4 linked regions of the Xenopus tropicalis genome follow. The main gene of each other region encodes a partner of the protein of the gene in region 3 in a complex. Links are inferred from orthologs where the notes say so. Each region holds a gene or a part of one and is shown on either strand. Other genes may lie near its edges.

Region 1 (4,461 bases), on a different chromosome or scaffold from region 3:
CAGGAAGCTCTTTATCACATATACAGACAGGGGAAGTTGGGCAAATGTGCACCAATCAGGCGGTTCCTCTATGAACAGGTCTCTCGTGCCAATGTTATGGAGCAGGAGAGGAAAGGCTGTACCGCCCCTTATGCAATAACAACACTATTCCTGCTCTGTGATTGGCCCATTGGGAACCCCATGTTTGCTAGCTGTACGTGAAGCTTCCGCTGGCACAATGGGGGTCAGTATTTGAGCAGCAAAGATCCCGGCCGTAATGGCTGCCCCTTCCCAGGTGCTGATGGGACCCGAAACCAGTGCAGGAGAACCCACTAAAAAGGACACCCCAAGAAGCAAAGAGGAGAACAGGAAGGGCAGAAATATCAGGACAGGGAACAAATCCACCCTACAGATGTACGAGACTGCAGGACAGACAGCAATGCACCTGTGCAGCTACCCCTCCCCGGCCACACCCACAGGCAACACCTACCTGTATCTGCAGCTCCTGCCCCACCTGAGAGGGATCAGAGAACATTATTGGTACCTGAAAGCAAATTGTGCCCCACAATACTGCCCTGTGTCATCACATTCAGGGGCAAAGATCAGACAACTGCCGATACACCGCACTGACTGCTTCCCCAGATATTAAAGGGTAACTATACACCTGGCTGACATGATCTCATTCAGTAGGATTATATATCTGTATACCGACGGCTCCATCGACAGGCACAGCATTATGGCCTGTGTGGGGCTACACGGAGAGGATATTGGGCAAAAATACATATTTTTACATTTCCGTGCCAGTATCGACTCAGTGTAGCTCCGCCCAGGCTGAGGAGCACATGACAGCAGATCTACCCCCCATCCCGATACCGACCTTGGTTGAAGCTTTGGGGGACTTTGCAGTGGAGGCCCTCGGAGACCGCCTGCTGGGTGACTTCCGGAGAGAGCGGTGCGGGGATTTGCCTGAAGTGCTGCCGGCGCTGCCACTTGCCCCCCGCCCCCGGGGGCTATTTTTGGGAGTCGTTTTCTTGTTGAGGCCTCTCTTCAGGAGGCTGTTGCCCAGCTTTCTGGGGGTGTTGAAAATGCTAAATGCTGTAGACTGACGGCGAGTGGGCTGCGCCTGCTGAAACGGGAGCAAAAGACTGTGTGAAATTCATATGAACATACCGCTTTATGGCACTGCAGTATTATTGGTACAAACAGTGACAAACCCCTAACTTCATCCGTTGCTGCCCTGATTTCATTGGTTTATAGGGACAGTGGCGCTGCCCTGATTTCATTGGTTTATAGGGACAGTGGCGCTGCCCTGATTTCATTGGTTTATAGGGACAGTGGCGCTGCCCTGATTTCATTGGTTTATAGGGACAGTGGCGCTGCCCTCCATCCCTGGGAACGTGAGAGCAATGGCCTGTCCCCTGGGACTCAGCGCACACAAGATGGTGTATAATGGTTGGTAAATGCATGAGAATTAGCAGCTCACCTGATGGCTGGAGTTTCCTTTGCTTTCCACAGTGGACAATCTGCGTGCGTCGTGTTTATCCTTTGGGGTCATGGGCCGAGGAAAGCAAGTGGCAGACTTCTTGGCCTGTAAGTAATACGGAAAGTTAGTTCTATAGAGCAGCAGAGCCACTAGCCCTTTAGCCCAAGTACAAACATGGAATGGCAAAGCTGCTCACTTCTGGGGTGTCTGGGCCAAGGTGAGACTCCTCGGACACGCGCTTCATCTGCTGCCTGGTGCTGATGCTGGGTCCCCTCATATGTTCAGAGGCAGCCAAGCTCATTCTGCGGGTACTGCCTGTGGACTCTTGTATCTGGGAGGGCAGCATGGTGGCTCTCCTGAGCGTCTCTTTAGGGTCTCCCAACTTGACCTCTTCATCGGTAATGGTGGAGCTTAAGAGTGACGGCTGAAAATGGATTGTGTGTTTTAGTTTAACAATTAACTTGATAAATTGCCCTAAAAACTCTTGCGACACACAGTGCTGATCCAAGCAATCAAGTCTCGCACTCCCATTGGTATTAAAGGTCCCCATACACTGGCAGATCTGCTTCCTTGCCGATCTTCTCCCGATACCCCCACCTACAGGATTTACGACGGGCATAGGTAAAGATTTTCTAGCCTGCCCGATCGAGATCTGGCCGATTTCAGGACAGATATCAGTCGGGCAGGCCCATCGGAAGTGCCCATACACGGGCCGATTAGCTGCCGAATTGGTCTAAGGGACCCATATCGGCAGCTAGAATCGGCCCGTGTATGGGGGGGCCTTAACCCTAGGGATGCTCTACCCCTACCCAAAGACAGCAGCCGTGCAGCTAAAGATATGCCCAGTACTTGTGCAATAGAACAGATACGCACCCTGGACTCCAGTGGGTAGGAAGTCTTGAGGTGGGGTGGGCAGGCCTTGTTCCGGGCCTGCAACTCAGCGATCCGGTTCCAGTCTTCCTGTGGGTCTGGCTCATCCTGGCACGTGCTCATGTAGAAACTGCTTCGGCCTGAAAGGAACAACATGGGGCTGAGGCTGCGGGGTTGTTATCACACACAGGGTGCAGGTATGGGGGAAGCATACAGAGCTGTTGGAGTGAGTTCTGTAAGGGGGCTATAGAGAACAGACTACACATCAGGCACGTAAGGGAACAGGCAACTACCTCCAGTTTGTGAAAGCCTTGCAGATCTACGCGTGGGGGGTCGGTAACCAGGTAAATTCATCAATACGGAGTTATTAAAGCTGTCATCAGAGAACTGTTCTGTCTTGGCCAGGGATTCCTGGGATGGGAGGCTGGCCAGGGCTGGGGCAGAAACCGCTGCCTGAGGACGCCCAGGCCTCCGGGGCTTCTGCTGGTGGAGACTCTGATAGGACGGAGCGGAGCGCAGGCTGTAGAATGACGTGTTGGCACTCTCTGCTTCCGGTTCCTCCTTTGTCTTCTGAAATGAAACCATAATGCAAATTTAATGGACACCCTACTCAAGACATGAATTCTTTCCCAATAACATTAGGAGAAATATCAATGTAAGAACCCTCGGCACTGACCAATATCTCCATCTGGGGGAACACAAGAAGCAGTGACCTGAGCAATGATTGGTTTGAGGTATGGAATCTCCAATATGGCAGCCAGTATGTTTGAAACTAATCCAGTTCTCAGTGAGGGCTGTTCCTAGGGCTCCCAGACCAAATGGAGATGGCTCGGCCCCCAGGATGTGGCATTGGACATAAGCTACAAAGTGCCACTATCTCCCATGCTGACTGTCACCATGGTGACTTCTGGGCCCCACATTGGCAACTGCTCTGCTCCCTGACTCAAAGCCCCCGATTCCCCCCACGCCGACACTTTCTCCTTACCTTGGTCATTGTGATGTTAATGATCTGGGTGGTGCGTCTCCTTGCAGACCGCGTTTTCTTGCTGGAGTCTAGGGACAGGTCCCCAATGGAACCAAGGCTACTTTCCAGTTTGGACTGTGCCCGGGTTGGAATAGGTGTGAAGTAGAGGCTTTCCAGAGACTCCACCTTTTTGGGCAGTTGGCCTGTGGTAGGAGACTCCATGCTGCTGGCATGTACTGACGATGTGGCAGGTTCCTCGTTGCAGCGGCCATTCTTACTGTGATAAATAAAATGCATATATTAGGGTACATTTCTGGTGGGTCAGGGACACACACAGCATTTGTTTTTGAAAATTGATCAGCTTTTCATGTCTAAAATGCATCTCTGCTCAAATGAACTTATGTTCTATCCTTGCTTTAACGGCAGATTTGGGTGTGCAGAAAGATGAGCTATTGCTCCAATGCTTTACTGCCCCCTAGCTGCAAGACTCAGCCAGCCAAGTGTCTTGTACATATTCCTATTTGTTTATTTGGCTACTATATAATGTCAGTATCTGCTGCACTGCATACAAAACAGTACAGACAGGAGGAACCAGCATTACATAAATATAGTCACAATAAATGCCACATTCAGAGAGACATATGAAGCTGTAGCCAGGCCCGGACTGACAAGCTGTGGGTTCTGGCAAATGCCATAAGGGCTGCTGTAAGATGCCAGACACTCACTATTATTGGGCCTCTGTGTACATTAAATGACGGGGCCCATTATGAATCCCAGTCCGGACCTGGCTGCAGGTTTCTGCCCTGTACAGCTTACAATCCGACTGCCTTTATCACATTAGTAAAGTAGCAGTGCTGCAGGTCTCGAGTAATAGAATAATAGGGAGGGAGGACTGCTATTAGCAGTTACACAGGGCCCGAGGGGCCATCCAGGACTACTGGAAAGAAGGCAAAGTAGGGAAGCATAAAGGGTTCCCCAGAAGCTAACACCCCAGGGTGTGCTCGGAGCAGAAGCTACATCTGAAGGGACCGGGTGCATCACTAGATGGTGTAAATTTTAATGAATAAGATTTACTTTCACGCTGGCACATATCTCCCTGTTTCTCTTAGTCAAGGAATAAGCAATCTTCCTTAGCAAAGAGTTAGCGCAGGACTGAACCAAACTG
Region 2 (5,179 bases), on a different chromosome or scaffold from region 3:
TATAAATGTGTTGCTATAGAAACTGTCATGTTTAAAGACTCTTGGAAAAATGCAGATCACTTTTAGTAAGAGCAGTTATTTTGCTATGGTAATTTTTATGCATGTTTTAACCTCAATAAATATTTATTTTTATTTCCTGGTATCTAATAAAGATTTTGTAGAAGTCTCAAAGCATTTGGCCTCAACAACCATAGATTGCTTGGTTTGAGCTGTGTAAGCTATACTTATCTGTTTGAGTGCCTGCCAATTGTAGATCTAGATTGACTAAAAATATAGACAAACTGCCCCCATTTGTATTTATGGAATGCAGTCGTTTTAGCAATTCATTTTCCAAATCTTTATGAGTTAGATCTATTTCATTTCACCAAAAATATCCTATTTCTGGTTTTGACTAAAACTATAAATACGCTTTGTTTTGTCAAAACTGGCAGAGAATTCAAATAGGAAATACTGTAGTACAGGTACAGGATTCATTTTCCAGAATGCTTGGGACCTGGGATTTTCTGGATAAGGGATCTTTCCATAATTTCGATCACCATATTTTGTCTGGTAAAAAAAAACATTTAAACATTAAATAAAGCCAATAGGATTCTTTTGCCAGTATGGCAGTGATACTGACACTAAAAAATTACTTTTCAAAATATTAATTTACATTAAAAGTTGCCTATAGGTTGTGTACCTATAGGCAACTTTTAATGTAAATTAATATTTTGAAAAGTAATTTTTTAGTGTCAGTATCACTTTAAGTGCTCTGAATAGAAACAAAGCAGAATTTATACAAACTGAGTTTGTATAAGGGGCAGATTTATCAAATTGTGAGTTTAGAGCTTAATAAATAAACCTCACCCACATTCTATTCATTCCTATGGGATTTTTAGAAGCGTATTTGTCAAATGGTGAATTCTAACTTTCACCCATTGATAAATACACTTCTAATAATCGGATTCTAATTCTAACAGAATGTGGGTTATTTTTTAAGCATTAAGCACCAAACTCAAATTTTGATAAATCTGCTCCTTAGAGGTTGATTTATCACAAATTGTATTTTTGTGGTTTTCTTTTTTTTATAAATTGAAAAAAAATTCAAACTAGAAAATCTTGAATGTGTGCTAATTTATTAAATTAAACTTGAATTTCAAAAACTTGATCATGGAGAAACAGGAAAGAAACTAACATTTTCAATGTTTCCAAATTTCAAATTCATATAAACTCCCATTGACTTTTACAAGAACTGTTAATATTCCACTTTTTTGCACTTATAATAAATCTCAAATTATAGTTTTGAAAACTCATATTTACATTTAAAATTTTTGCCACAAAAAACTTGAAATGCGGTACAAAGTCAAATTTGAATATCGATAAATATGCTCCAAATTCTTGGAGACAAATGATTTAATTAAACTGAAAATTTAATATTGCTATTGTGTTCTTTCATGGCATTAATGCATGGGTCCAATTGCAAGAGATGAACGGTATACAGTTAATGAGGCACAATAAGTATTTTTGCCACATAGCTTGCATTCTGGAGCCTGGGAAGCAACAATATACAGTAAGGCATTATAGAAATAAATAAGCCTATTTTTTGTATTGTCTTAACAATAAACTGTATATATTCTGTCCATGGAAGGTTTGCCTATTTAAAATGAAAGGGGAATTATACATAAAATATGTTATCAATTTAAATGAGACATTGTAGGTACTTTTAGTGAAACCGTAGGACTTCTCAAAATATTTTGTTCTAAGGATTTACCAGCCATTCTTTTGATTGCATAATTCAATAATGTTTAATGTAAGACCACCAATGAAGGAAAGCTTTTAATTCCCATATACGCCAGTATGGCTTGTAAATTTATCAGCAGGTATGTTCCCCAGCAGCTGTTGAATGATATGAAAAGATTTGAGGCGCAGAAGGCAATAGTATGAGCATTATGCAGAGGAAGAGGTGATTTACTGCGTATCTAAAGCTTTCCTTCTTTCTGTATGCTGCTTCACTGCTTGCACACAGCCTGTTCCTGCCACCTCCCCCCTCCTTGTTTCTCTTTCACTGGCTGGGATCAGCAGTCTTCAATGAAGAAATCTGAGCAAATATGCTTACAGGAGCTACAGGGAGACAATCAAAGCAACATAAAATAGCATGTATTAAAGTGAGTGTGCGGTAGGGTGATAGAAGAATAGCTGTCGTTGAACTGCATCTTTAAAATTCATTTTGGCTGGATAAAGAAATACAGCGATGCTTCTTATCAGTGATTCATTCCCAAACTGCAGAACTGGGATGATATTGTGCTGCATTCTGATGTAGAAAGCCTATATTTACTTAAACCAGTGATAACATCAGGTTGCTCTGTGAATGAAGAAACAAAGCAAGCGGAGCTGCATGCATGGACGTGTTTGGGTTTGGAAAGATAGCAAAGCTGTCCAGGTAAGTTTTGCACTTACAGGCTATGAACGGGGAGCATGTGTGTCCAGTACCACTGTACCTCTTTAAAACCAGGAGGGGGAGGGGGTGAATAAGGTATGCAATCTGCAGGGAAAATATTGGCAGAGGGTCCTGCTAGACAGCACTGTTCACTGGTGGTCTGTGTTTTGTATAGCCTGTCTGAACTATTGCAATCATCTGAGAATACTGCCACAGAAGCTACAGATTGTTTGATATGCCGGGGCATAGGTAGAGTAATGGAAGCTGCACAGTGCACCGTTATCTCTAATTAGAAAAGCTGCTTCTTGCTAAAAACCAGTTCCATAGTGTCTGAAAATCCTGTTTCATGTATTTCATGAATGTGTTTCACCTTTACCACTGGACCACTGGTTGCATAGCAATATAGATTCTAAAATGGGTGCATAACTGGATATAGTTATCTGTCCACACTTGTGTGTATATATATATATGTATACAATTATATTTCTAATTATATTTTCTAATTTGCTGCAATAATTCTTAATAACTGTTGTAGAGTATTTCTTTTGTTTTAGTGCATCTAAGTATATATAATGGAGTTAAAATACTGGATTGAGCAGTGAGCAATACTTTATTTTTATTAAAAAATGTTTGCCAGCAACCCATTCATGCAGAAGTGATGTTAGTGTTGTACTACACAGATAACTTTATTGCACCCATCCTGTCTGGAAACAGGGACAGGTATTTGTGTTCTGGTTGCCAAAAAAGGCATTTTCCTTATTTTTTTTACTGATTCACAACAAAACATTTTTTATGTAAAGGCACCCTCTGGTTAGGGGTGTCCAAATAGGGAGTCAGCTGTAGATCTGGAGCTGGTAACCACTAGATCACGTGAGCTAGCAGTGTCTACAGACCCTTCTGTATACTTCCCATTATTCAGATTTGTAAAACAATTGATTTAGAAATGGGTGCATTTTGTTTAAATACAATGCTTTCTATTTTCCAGGACTATAATACAAAAAGTAACATTTATCATAGCAGCGTAACATAGGAGGTGGTAGACCATGTAATAACTTCACTACAATTAGACCCCATATCAGTAAGTCTGGGCACCCTTGATTTCCACTATCACCATGGATACATTTGTTCAAATACCTTAAGTATGTCTGCATATGCTGAGAGATTGAAGAATTAATTCACCTGGACATTCATAGCCCTGCTAAGGCTGGGCAAATTATCATCTGGGCAGCAACCTATAGCAATCAGTGATTTGCTTTTCTCAGACAGCTGTAGGAAAAACAAAGACAGCACAAATGTTATTTGTGCATAAGTGTTCCTGCACTAGAGCCAACAAACCCTTTGTTTGCAAATGATTCCCACTATTCACCCACTTCATTAAAAAAATCTATTAAGCTTCATAAAGCCATTAAATCTGTGACTAAGTTCTCCAAGTATTGTATTTGAATAATTTTAAAGTCTTTATAGGCACTGTATGTGTTTCTGTCAGTATGTGGCATAGTCCTTTGCCAAGCTGGTACCACTTTTGCTTCAATAGGCACCAGACAGGGTCTCATTTGAGTGTATGTTATCTTGTAGGTTTCAGTGTATTGTGTCGAAGAGCAGTTACTAAGGTACAGCAAAGGCCATGCAGTGAGTTTGAAACATTTTGTGTTTTGTTCTCTATTAGAAAACTGACTGTGTATTTACATTTATGAGAGATAAGTGCTGCATTCTATTACTGGCATGTCAAATCACATTGTCTTAATTAGATGGCATTTTTAAAATAAATTGAAACAATAAAGCTGAACCTGCTTTGCTGTTAAGACCCCGTGTGATCTGTCATCAAGAAATCAGCAGCTTTAGCAATGTTTTTTCTGAAATGTGGAAAACAAAAGTGCTTTAGTTGCAGGATTTTCCTGATTTCTATGTCGATAATCCTCCTAAAGGATTTAGCTTTGATCACAACATCTATGTAGTAGTGCTTCACATGTAATGGTTTGCTTTGTGCCCTGCTTTGTTTCCCCACAGTGGTTAAGGATCAGGATAATTGTGATCAAGAATCTGTGGCCTGTCATTAACTTTTGTGCCCAGTTACCATTTGCCATTTTACAAGAACCAAGGCAAGGAATCAAACTGGTTTTATGTTTACAGGAAAATTCAGCAGCCTTGACCGAATGTTTTGGAAATTATTAGAAAACTATAATCAGATCTACAATTGTATTGGCCTAAGTGGCACGACTGACTAAAATAAGGTTTGCCAAAGGCTCAAGGAAAGCTATCATACAGCATTTCATCCTACTAGCCCAGTGGTTCTCAACCTTCCTAATGCCGTGACCCTTTAATACAGTTCCTCATGTTGTGGTGACCCCCAACCATAAAATTATTCCCAAGACCATCGGAAATATGTGTTTTCTGATGGTCTTAGGTGACCCTTGTGAAAGGGTCGACCCCCGAAGGAGTCCCAACCCACAGGTTGAGAACGCTGTACTAGCCTTAAGGTTAAGTCAACATCCATAACATAAATGAAGTGTTTATGAAATTTCATGTTATATCGGGCGCAATGTTTGTTCAGTTATAGTAACCAATAACAACTAATTAATAGGCAGCTTTTACTGATCTACTCTTTGAAAGCTAATGCCTGGCTGTTATGAGTCACTAGACCTAAAGCAAAGTTTGTGCATGTTATTATATTACCCCCTAAATAAGTTATTGCTTGGAAGTAGTACATTAGCATTGAATTGTTTCTCAGGGAAGGCTAATTTAATTACATCTTCTTGTAGTTAT
Region 3 (5,130 bases):
TGTAAAATGACAGATACCCAGTGGAAGTAGTGTGGTGCAGATAAGTGAAGGTCTTTAATAGCTTGTTTAATTCTTGTTTTATGCAGACAAGAAAAAGAGGATTCTAGTAAAACAGTTTTGAAGAAGGTGAGAGAATGCCAGGAAGACTGTTGCAGCAGTCTATGAGGACAGAATGAGGGCACGCATGAGTGTTGTAGCAGTTGCTTAGAATAGTGCATAAGAAAAAGCCTTGGGTTTTCATTGTGGTGCTCACTTGACTACAAAACCAAAAGGAAGAATCAAAGAGAAAGCAGCTCTTTTTTGGTGCAGACTCTCTAACCTGTTAGATTTTGCTACGTTAATTGACTGATTTCTCAGCAGTGCCAGATGAATACAACTAATATAACCACTTGAACAAAACTTAGATATCATGCTCATTAGGTCATTATTCTCAAAGTATGGAATGAAACTGAAAAAAAAAGTTAGGAAAGTGAACTACCCCTTTAAAGCCAATTTAATGTTTCAGGTTTACTAAATATATAATGTATAGGGAGTGCAAAAGCGAGCTGAGTAAAGGGCCTTTAATAGCTCCCAGACTCAGGGGTACAGTGACAAGTTTATGTTCATGTACTAGACAAAGATAGAAAGGTTAAAAAAAAAAAAAAAAAAAAAAAGGAAACCAGGATGTAGCTTTATTATGGATATCAAGAGAATTTAACTTTTGCATAAGAAGAAAAGGGTCTATTCTTTATCAAATGCAGATAGTAAATTGAGGAAGGTAAGAACAAAGAAGTGTCCTTTGGACCTAGAAAATGTTTGCAGCCAGATGTGTAAATTTTATATAATGCACATCAATGCCTGCCACAAGAGAAAACATTTTTACAGAAGCCAATATGAATGCACACTTCTGTAAATACACAGTCTGCAGGTCAGTCCCACCATGCCCTATATTTGCAGGAAAGATCGTAATTGGTATGTGTATGGCCACCTTAATACCCCCTGGGGAGAACTATGAGGAACTTAGAAACCAGCTAAAAAAGGGAGGACAGAAAGAAATTAGAGACAACTTATTGTGTAAAGAAGCATAAGGATATAATTACGAGTTCAGTCAGGGGAAAGTAGTTCTGAGTTATAGGTAATATTATTGTTATAGAATTAGTAAACCTATTTTTTTTTCTAGAGTTTTGTATGGAGTCTTTTTAGGGGCTTTTGTGATAAAGGCTTACTTATCAGTTAAAGGCATTGACAAGACTGATACTTGACAATCCATTTCAGAGAAGACTTGAAGAAAGAGATGACGCAGTCTTCACAAAAACAAAGTTCTCTTTTTCCAGTACAAACATACCCTTAAGCATGGTGGTTAGAATACCTAAAGCTATATAAAGACCTTGGTAAATCCATGTATTCAAGTTTAAAAAGAAAATCAAGTGAAGCCTGGATTGTAAATTTAGAAAAAGGCTAGCAAACATTTGATTTTTATTGCTAAACTGAAGCAAACTTTGTCCATAACCCTAGCTACTAAATCCTATATCCAAGGCTTGTGTGGTGGCCATGTCAAAATCTGCCCCAAACGATAATGAAATGTATTTCCGAGAGCAGGAAAAACCTGTTCTTATTAGAAAAAAAAAATCTGTCATAAAGTTTATTCATAGTAGTACGGTAGGAAAGATTAGGTCAAACTTCCTGCTTGCATAGTCTCACCAACATTCACATATTATATATTACTAAAACATTTCAATCTACTAAATACAAATGTATCATATTTGTCCAAGTTATTCAAAGGAGTTAAAGTTCTTTCGTTCACCAGGTTATTAATTAGCGTAGGATTAGATTCTGAATTCACAGTTTATGTCACACAAGTAACTTGTGCCCACTTTCTGAACCATAAAATCATCTGTTCAAGAGAGGCACAGCAAATGCACTGGTCTTACCTGTTAGAGACTGTGACAGAGGAGAGGCAGGCACTCATCAGGATCTCAATGCTGACTGACAGAGGAATAAAGCTGCTGGGATGTTAAATACAGCCAGACAATGCAGCTATGGGTTAAGGTGTTACAATTTGTATTGCCCCCCCATAGTACAAACAGCCGTTTGTTTTTTCCTACCAGTGACTTTTGCTGCTGGGAAAATATAGCTGGCTAGACAAGCCAGTTGACAGTCCCATGTGGCCATTTGTCACATTTGAGCCAAATTTTGGTTTCAGTTCATTTGTTGAACACAAGCTACCAGTGTGACATGGCTATAAATTGCTCTGAGCTAAACTAGACACCACTGTATTGGGTTCATCAACCATTTCTCAGTTCATTTTAATGGACGTTAACGACTTTGGAAACAAGGATGCTCTGGTCAACCAGCAAAAATCGAACAAAAACAAAGAGTGTACATAGATCCGAAAGGCAGCAAGAATAGTGGGACAAGACAATAAGGTCCGAGTTCTTTCAAAGAATGATTTGCAATGCCATATTATACTCATAACTGCAGAGTATTGTGCGATATATTTTACTAACACAATCACCAATAAAGTAAATACCTTTTGGGGCTGCCTTGGTTTTACAGCTTTCCTGGTTACAGGGTGCAGAAAAGCCGCACTGAAGAAAAACAAAGAAACAAAGTTATGGTTTGTAACCATGCCCCAATAAGGTAAACTACAACATTTACCCCTGTATAATATTATGTTCAAGGGATGATGAGAAGTCTGAAGTAAATGCTTACATTAAACATTTAGCTTGAATCAGCAGGGTGAAGCCAAGCCCCACACCTATGTGTATAGATAGGCTGCTGCACCCAGCTATGATGATGATGACTATGAACAGAAAGTGACTCAGGAGACATTCAGGTTCAGACTTAATGAGGATGCAGATATCATCATTTTGTAATGTCAGTACAACAAGTGAATCCCAAAAATGCATCTTGCTGGAGCAGCTGTATCCCCTGGCAACAGGATCACACAGCAAGTACTGGCTCCCTCATTCACTCTCAGTGACTCCTACAAGTCATGAGGTACGATCCAGTTCAACTGTAATATATATGGGCAAACTGGGTGATGCTGGGTCTTACACACATGCAAGAGAATGCAGGGCATACAATTCCCATCACAACTGTACATGTAGCAGAGAGTAGAGGCAACACGTCCCCACTGGCTACAATAGGAAGCTACTAAGTAGCTCAATAGGAAGCATGAGTGTCCCATCGCATTCAGCACAGACCGCTGTGAGGGACTAACCTCGGCTCCAGGTGTATCTGAGCTGTAGCCCCGGGAATCTCGCTGCGTGACTCCGTTCCAAGGACGAGGCTGAAGGAACTAATGACACAGAGAGCTGCAGATCGTCCCAGTTATATTACGGCTCCCAGCATACCCAGCCAGCCTGCATGCCGCACAATAATCCGGGGACACTTCCGATTTTCTTAACAGAGCCAGTAGCCCACAATCCCGGGTCGCTGTTTAAAAGTCCCGCAGAGCCGTTAACATGTAGCTCCCTGACTCCTCCCGTACAGCTCCTCCCCTCCCGTATAGCTCCTCCCCACACTCAGGTCTCATCTCGCGAGAGCGTGACGTCACACCACAAGTATAGTATACCAGCGGCGCGCAAGGCTAGGAGAGTAGCGTTGTGTAGGCCGGGAGAGGAGCGTTGTGTAGGCCGGGAGAGGAGCGTTGTGTAGGCCGGGAGAGGAGCGTTGTGTAGGCCGGGAGAGGAGCGTTGTGTAGGCTGTGCTGGTTGCAGTAGGCTTTGGGCGTCCGGTCACAATCTTTTATTTTCTGTGCAGCTTATGCTTTTGCTAGGAAGTAACGAGACTGTGTGTTTTGTGTTGGTTGCTAGCTGTGGCCGCTGCCACTAGAATCTCATTGCCCAATGCTAGCCCGCATACTGACCCCGCTGTTTGTTCGCTCCCACTTGTTTCACCGTCAGAGATTGCCTTTTTCGTTTTCGCAGCTTTTCTAGTGCCGGGGAAGGAGAATAAAACAATTTATTTTCTTGGTAGTTTACAGCAATTCCCGCTTTCACAATAGACTCTGCTTTTGGTGTTTCAACTTCTGCCAAAAAATAAAGACGTGTCCTTGTTGCCAACGCAACCTGTTTCCGTGCGAGTCTGAGCTTCCAATTTGACCAAAAAAGTAAAAGCGATTTCGTGCAAACTGGGGCTGGGAGAAATGAAATCACATTTAGTATATTTGTACTTTGAGGTACTTGATTTTTGTGCATACAAGGGTCAGGTTTTTCACTTAGATTGTAAGTTCTACGGGGCAGGGACCTCCATCCGCTTGTCTCTTTGAATCTTCTGTACCTTGTATTTATCTATTATTATTTTAAAAACCCCGTTTGTTTTATTAATTTATTGTTCTACTGTACAGCACTGAGTACATAAGTAGCACTATATAAATATATATATACATACACTGTTGAGAGAGGAAAGGATGGCTGATTTAGGAGAAAAGAGAATGTGAAATGACCTACTCGTCGTTTTTCACGTTTCGCTAATAATTGTAGCCAGTGGGATGGCATTTCGGGGAGATTAGTCGCCCGCGACAAGGGAGATTTGTAGCAGCGACTAATCTCCCCGTCTGTCACAGCCCTTATAAGTAGTCTACAAGTTTTCATGGGTATCAAATAATAAACAAAGCCCGACAAACAGGTCATTGGGTTTAAAACTAGCGGTAAGGAGAGTTCATCTGAGAAGAAGTGCGTAACTTGTCGCCAGAATCTCTGGATGGCCGGACAGTACCATACTAGTCGGTGTCAGGGTTATTGCAGAAAAGGCATCTGATGTTCAGACTGACCCATTAAATGCAGTTTCTTGGGTGTTGGATAGGTTTGATGTATAATTTTTATTTGGATTAGCCTATCACTAGAATTTATCAGTGGGAAATAGAGGTTCTCTTCCACAGAGTCGGACTGGGCCGGGGGGAACCAGGAAGAAACCTGCCAACCCAGACCTGATCCCTGTCGGCATTCTCCCACTGATCTCCCTCCCCTGATCATGTTGAAGTTAAGTATAATGCGGGGGAGAGGGGGTTGGGTGGGCATAAGGGGCCCCTGGGGTGTGTGCACCCAGTGGGCCATGCACCTCCCAGTCCAACCCTGCTTTCCCACCTCCCCCCAGTCATCCAGGTCTGAGTGGAGACCGCTCGCCTTGTTATAGGGTCAGAACTCA
Region 4 (5,121 bases), about 110 Mb from region 3:
ACTTCTAATAGACATTTCCCATGCAGACCAATTGCAATCTGCGCACTGTCAGTTCTCACTCATGACTTCTAATAGACATTTCCCATGAAGACCAATTGCAATCTGTGCACTGTCACTTCTCACTCATAACTTCTAATAGACATTTCCCATGAAGACCAATTGCAATCTGTGCACTGTCAGTTCTCACTCATGACTTCTAATAGACATTTCCCATGAAGACCAATTGCAATCTGTCAGTTCTCGCTCATGACTTCTAATAGACATTTCCCATGAAGACCAATTGCAATCTGTGCACTGTCAGTTCTCACTCATGACTTCTAATAGACATTTCCCATGAAGACCAATTGCAATCTGTGCACTGTCAGTTCTCACTCATGACTTCTAATAGACATTTCCCATGCAGACCAATTGCAGTCAGTGCACTGTCAGTTCTCACTCATGACTTCTAATAGACATTTCCCATGAAGACCAATTGCAATCTGCGCACTGTCAGTTCTCACTCATGACTTCTAATAGACATTTCCCATGAAGACCAATTGCAATCTGTGCACTGTCAGTTCTCACTCATGACTTCTAATAGACATTTCCCATGCAGACCAATTGCAGTCAGTGCACTGTCAGTTCTCACTCATGACTTCTAATAGACATTTCCCATGAAGACCAATTGCAATCTGTGCACTGTCAGTTCTCACTCATGACTTCTAATAGACATTTCCCATGAAGACCAATTGCAATCTGTGCACTGTCAGTTCTCACTCATGACTTCTAATAGACATTTCCCATGCAGACCAATTGCAGTCAGTGCACTGTCAGTTCTCACTCATGACTTCTAATAGACATTTCCCATGAAGACCAATTGCAATCTGCGCACTGCCAGTTCTCACTCATGACTTCTAATAGACATTTCCCATGCAGACCAATTGCAATCTGCGCACTGTCAGTTCTCACTCATGACTTCTAATAGACATTTCCCATGAAGACCAATTGCAATCTGTGCACTGTCAGTTCTCACTCATGACTTCTAATAGACATTTCCCATGAAGACCAATTGCAATCTGTGCACTGTCAGTTCTCACTCATGACTTCTAATAGACATTTCCCATGCAGACCAATTGCAATCTGCGCACTGTCAGTTCTCACTCATGACTTCTAATAGACATTTCCCATGAAGACCAATTGCAATCTGTGCACTGTCAGTTCTCACTCATGACTTCTAACAGACAACTCCCGGGGACATGAGGAAGGAATGAACATCAGCTGGAGTTTTACAGGCTGGAATGTGTCTCCAAGGCTCTGGGAGTGTTTATAGGGAAAAGCCGCAGGATTGCACCTCCCTGAAAGGAAAATAACCCCTTGGGGGGGGGGGGCAGAATTTCAAGACAGGAAAGTTTTATGGAATGTTCCGCCCGGCAAAGAGCTGGAATTTCTATGGGAAACACCTGCCCTGGGCTCTGTAGGTTCCATATCTCCTGCCCCGGGGGTTGTTAGACTCTTCCAGCCTATCCCATGGTGCAAAGTGTTCCCCCCCCCTCCCGGCACAAAATTGCTGAATTATTATTATTTTACTTGGCCTTTTCCCCCCCCCCCCCCGTTGGTCTCTAATTTCACTCCTCAAAGCCCGACCAACGGGCGCTCGTTAGGGGCCCCCGCCGCCAGTCTGCTTCTGTGCGAGGGCCGGACAGAAATAGAACCAACCGAGTGGCTGTTATTGGCCGGGGGCCCGAGCCCAACTGTCAGCCAAACTATGCGCCAGAGGTTTTTTTGATGGGCAGAGCGGCTGCGACTGGGGAGTAAATGTTACAAAAGGGGCTTTTTGTTATCCCGGCCGAGCAGCGAGGGAAGCGGAGGAGCAGCTCCGGCTGAGGATTTGGGGGCCCCCCTGTAACTCTACGTAAGTACAAATCTCATAGCAGATGAACTAAAGCGTCGGGGGGGGGGGGGTCTGGGAAGCACAAATGGTGTTTATTTAGAGATATTCTGAGACACTTTGCAATTGGTCTTCATTTTTTCTTTATTTGGGTTATTTCGCTTTGGCGTTTCAGCAGCTGTGGGGTTGCTAGGGTCCGAACAATCCTAGCAACCAAGCAGGGGTGCGAGTGAGACATTAGGATATGAATAGGGGAGGGACTGGATAGAAATATAAGGAATAAAAAGTAACAGTAACAATAAAACTGGAGCCTCACAGAGCAATAGGGTTTGGCTGCCGGGGTCAGTTATCCTGTTGCTAGGGCTCCAATTACCTTAGCAACCACAGAGTGATTTGAATGAGACACAGGAATATGAATAGGGGAGGAGCTGAATAGAAAGATAAGGAATAAAAAGTAACAATAATAATAAAACTGGAGCCTCACAGAGCAATAGGGTTTGGCTGCCGGGGTCAGTTATCCTGTTGCTAGGGCTCCAATTACCTTAGCAACCACAGAGTGGTTTGAATGAGACACAGGAATATGAATAGGGGAGGGGCTGAATAGAAAGATAAGGAATAAAAAGTAACAATAACAATAAAACTGGAGCCTCACAGAGCAATAGAAAGCATTTGAAAGCTGCAAAGATAATGAAGACCAATTGAAAAGTTGCTAATTCTATAACATACTCAAAGTTAATTTGAAGGGGAACCACCTCTTTCAGTAAACTTTTAGTATGTAATAGAATTAGCAACTTTTCAATTGGTCTTCATTAATTATTTTTGTATGTTTTTTTTTTTTATTATTTAAGTAAATAAAAAAATAATAAGTCAGCCTTCTGCTCACTCATTGTAGCTTTCAAATGGGGGTCACTGACCCCGGCAGCCAAACCCTATTGCTCTGTGAGGCTCCAGTTTTATTGTTATTGTTACTTTTTATTCCTTATCTTTCTATTCAGCCCCTCTCCTATTCATATTCCTATGTCTCATTCAAACTGCTCCCTGGTTGCTAAGGTAATTTGGACACTAGCAACCAGATAGCTGCTGAAATACCAAACTGGAAAGCTGCCGAACAAAAAGTGAAATAATTAAAAAAACTACAATTAATAAAAAAAATGAAGACCAATTGCAATTTGTCTCAGTATATTACTCTTTATATCATTCTAAGAGTTAACTCAAAGGTAAACAAGCCCTGTAATAGTCAATCCCTGCACATTCACTAACTGGATTGGAGGCGGGGGGATCGACCCCCATTACTCACCGAGCTCTGCCTTTTAAAAAAAATTGTGAGAGTAATTGCGCCGTTTATTGGTCGGTTTGGGTCAGACGGGACGTGTGTGACACTGAGATGAGGTTTTTTCTGATACAAAATGCACTTGAGGTTTAAAGAAATGTTATTAGAATTATTATGAACAATTTCATTCCCTAAAACTGCTTTGTAGAAAAACACAGAGTGGCAGCACTAGGTAGGTACCTAATATATAGGGGCAGAGACAGGGGAAAGTGTTGGAAGGGTTACTGCCTGCCCTGCTCTCATTTCCCTACAGAAATAGGGGTTGGTAGCACTAGGTAGGTACCTAATATATAGGGGCAGAGACAGGGGAAAGTGTTGGAAGGGTTACTGCCTGCCCTGCTCTCATTTCCCTACAGAAATAGGGGTTGGTAGCACTAGGTAGGTACCTAATATATAGGGGCAGAGACAGGGGAAAGTGTTGGAAGGGTTACTGCCTGCCCTGCTCTCATTTCCCTACAGAAATAGGGGTTGGTAGCACTAGGTAGGTACCTAATATATAGGGGCAGAGACAGGGGAAAGTGTTGGAAGGGTTACTGCCTGCTCTGCTCTCATTTCCCTACAGAAATAGGGGTTGGTAGCACTAGGTAGGTACCTAATATATAGGGGCAGAGACAGGGGAAAGTGTTGGAAGGGTTACTGCCTGCCCTGCTCTCATTTCCCTACAGAAATAGGGGTTGGTAGCACTAGGTAGGTACCTAATATATAGGGGCAGAGACAGGGGAAAGTGTTGGAAGGGTTACTGCCTGCCCTGCTCTCATTTCCCTACAGAAATAGGGGTTGGTAGCACTAGGTAGGTACCTAATATATAGGGGCAGAGACAGGGGAAAGTGTTGGAAGGGTTACTGCCTGCCCTGCTCTCATTTCCCTACAGAAATAGGGGTTGGTAGCACTAGGTAGGTACCTAATATATAGGGGCAGAGACAGGGGAAAGTGTTGGAAGGGTTACTGCCTGCCCTGCTCTCATTTCCCTACAGAAACATTATATGAGTGATTACAGTCAGTAGGTGGGTAATACAATATGTATATATACAGTATATATACAGAAACTTGTTTCTATTTCCTATAAAAGCCATTTCAGGTCAAGTGTTTCACTTCTAAAATATGTTGGTAGAGACATCAGTGTTTTAAATGTTTCTGGGAAAGAAGCTGCGGTTTTGCCCATAATAACATGTTCTTTACGCGACTAAAGGGAACCTAAAACTTAACAAAGGAATGCTGCACATTATGTTTTAGGCTTCTGTTCCAGCCCCAAAGTACAGCTGTGCTGCTGAAAATGCCACCAGTAGCCCCCCATCTTCTTTCTCATGGGCTGCTATGGTGCCTATAGTAAGCTAGGGAACCACTCACTATACAGTATATACACACTATAACGGGCCCACTATACAGTATATACACTATAACGGGCCCACTAAACAGTATATATACACTATAACGGGCACACTATACAGTATATACACTATAACGGGCCCACTATACAGTATATATACACTATAACGGGCCCACTATACAGTATATATACACTATAACGGGCCCACTATACAGTATATACACTATAACGGGCCCACTATACAGTATATATACACTATAACGGGCCCACTATACAGTATATATACACTATAACGGGCCCACTATACAGTATATACACTATAACGGGCCCACTATACAGTATATATACACTATAACGGGCCCACTATACAGTATATACACACTATAACGGGCCCACTATACAGTATATATACACTATAACGAGCCCACTATACAGTATATACACTATAACGGGCCCACTATACAGTATATACACACTATAACGGGCCCACTATACAGTATATACACTATAACGGGCCCACTATACAGTATATATACACTATAACGGGCCCACTATACAGTATATACACACTATAACGGGCCCACTATACAGTATATA

The links.
Region 1: the proteins of gpsm2 (region 3) and numa1 are in contact, whole or in part, in a crystal structure (PDB 6HC2), measured with the Homo sapiens proteins. The link is inferred for Xenopus tropicalis from reciprocal best matches to the Homo sapiens genes GPSM2 and NUMA1. Residues at the interface, in NP_001307967.1 of Homo sapiens: Ala28, Leu29, Glu32, Cys35, Lys36, Phe47, Lys59, Thr60, Ser62, Ala63, Ile64, Ser66, Gln67, Asn70, Ala71, Phe73, Asn110, Lys113, Tyr146, His153, Lys157, Pro164, Gln165, Arg203, Gly206, Asn207, Asn210, Tyr213, Leu214, Arg228; in NP_006176.2 of Homo sapiens: Ser1901, Phe1902, Tyr1903, Met1904, Gly1905, Thr1906, Cys1907, Gln1908, Asp1909, Glu1910, Pro1911, Glu1912, Leu1914, Asp1916, Trp1917, Asn1918, Arg1919, Ile1920, Ala1921, Leu1923.
Region 2: the proteins of gpsm2 (region 3) and frmpd4 are in contact, whole or in part, in a crystal structure (PDB 4WND), measured with the Homo sapiens proteins. The link is inferred for Xenopus tropicalis from reciprocal best matches to the Homo sapiens genes GPSM2 and FRMPD4. Residues at the interface, in NP_001307967.1 of Homo sapiens: Leu25, Ala28, Leu29, Glu32, Asp57, Lys59, Thr60, Ser62, Ala63, Ile64, Ser66, Gln67, Asn70, Phe73, Tyr74, His85, Asp88, Ala92, Gly100, Lys103, Asn107, Asn110, Thr111, Lys113, His128, Arg143, Tyr146, Asn147, Asn150, His153; in NP_055543.2 of Homo sapiens: Gln988, Leu989, Leu990, His991, Ser992, His994, Met995, Glu996, Met997, Glu998, Pro999, Glu1000, Thr1001, Met1002, Glu1003, Thr1004, Lys1005, Ser1006, Val1007, Thr1008, Asp1009, Tyr1010, Phe1011, Ser1012.
Region 4: the proteins of gpsm2 (region 3) and insc are in contact, whole or in part, in a crystal structure (PDB 3RO3), measured with the Mus musculus proteins. The link is inferred for Xenopus tropicalis from reciprocal best matches to the Homo sapiens genes GPSM2 and INSC. Residues at the interface, in NP_083798.2 of Mus musculus: Asn210, Tyr213, Leu214, Phe218, Arg242, Ser246, Asn247, Asn250, Ile253, Phe254, Tyr265, Gln283, Tyr286, Ser287, Asn290, Thr291, Thr293, Leu294, Arg323, Trp326, Ser327, Asn330; in XP_006507722.1 of Mus musculus: Val72, Asp73, Ser74, Val75, Arg77, Trp78, Met79, Asp81, Leu82, Lys83, Leu84, Met85, Thr86, Glu87.

What each region holds. Positions count from the first base shown.
Region 1 is NC_030678.2:178,876,047-178,880,507, reverse strand, and holds part of numa1 (nuclear mitotic apparatus protein 1), read right to left. Parts: intron 3,574-4,461; coding exon 3,318-3,573; intron 2,903-3,317; coding exon 2,626-2,902; intron 2,473-2,625; coding exon 2,336-2,472; intron 1,887-2,335; coding exon 1,659-1,886; intron 1,568-1,658; coding exon 1,463-1,567; intron 1,106-1,462; coding exon 857-1,105; intron 494-856; coding exon 470-493; intron 1-469. UniProt on the Homo sapiens protein: Microtubule (MT)-binding protein that plays a role in the formation and maintenance of the spindle poles and the alignement and the segregation of chromosomes during mitotic cell division.
Region 2 is NC_030678.2:106,369,802-106,374,980, reverse strand, and holds the start of frmpd4 (FERM and PDZ domain-containing protein 4), read left to right. Parts: upstream 1-2,018; 5' UTR 2,019-2,378; coding exon 2,379-2,419; intron 2,420-5,179. UniProt on the Homo sapiens protein: Positive regulator of dendritic spine morphogenesis and density. Required for the maintenance of excitatory synaptic transmission. Binds phosphatidylinositol 4,5-bisphosphate.
Region 3 is NC_030680.2:112,001,640-112,006,769, forward strand, and holds the start of gpsm2 (G-protein-signaling modulator 2), read right to left. Parts: upstream 3,496-5,130; 5' UTR 3,203-3,495; intron 2,568-3,202; exon of another isoform or gene 2,510-2,567; intron 2,005-2,509; exon of another isoform or gene 1,949-2,004; coding exon of another isoform or gene 1,911-1,948; intron 1-1,910. UniProt on the Homo sapiens protein: Plays an important role in mitotic spindle pole organization via its interaction with NUMA1. Required for cortical dynein-dynactin complex recruitment during metaphase. Plays a role in metaphase spindle orientation.
Region 4 is NC_030680.2:3,251,973-3,257,093, reverse strand, and holds the start of insc (protein inscuteable homolog), read left to right. Parts: upstream 1-1,595; 5' UTR 1,596-1,891; intron 1,892-5,121. UniProt on the Homo sapiens protein: May function as an adapter linking the Par3 complex to the GPSM1/GPSM2 complex. Involved in spindle orientation during mitosis. May regulate cell proliferation and differentiation in the developing nervous system.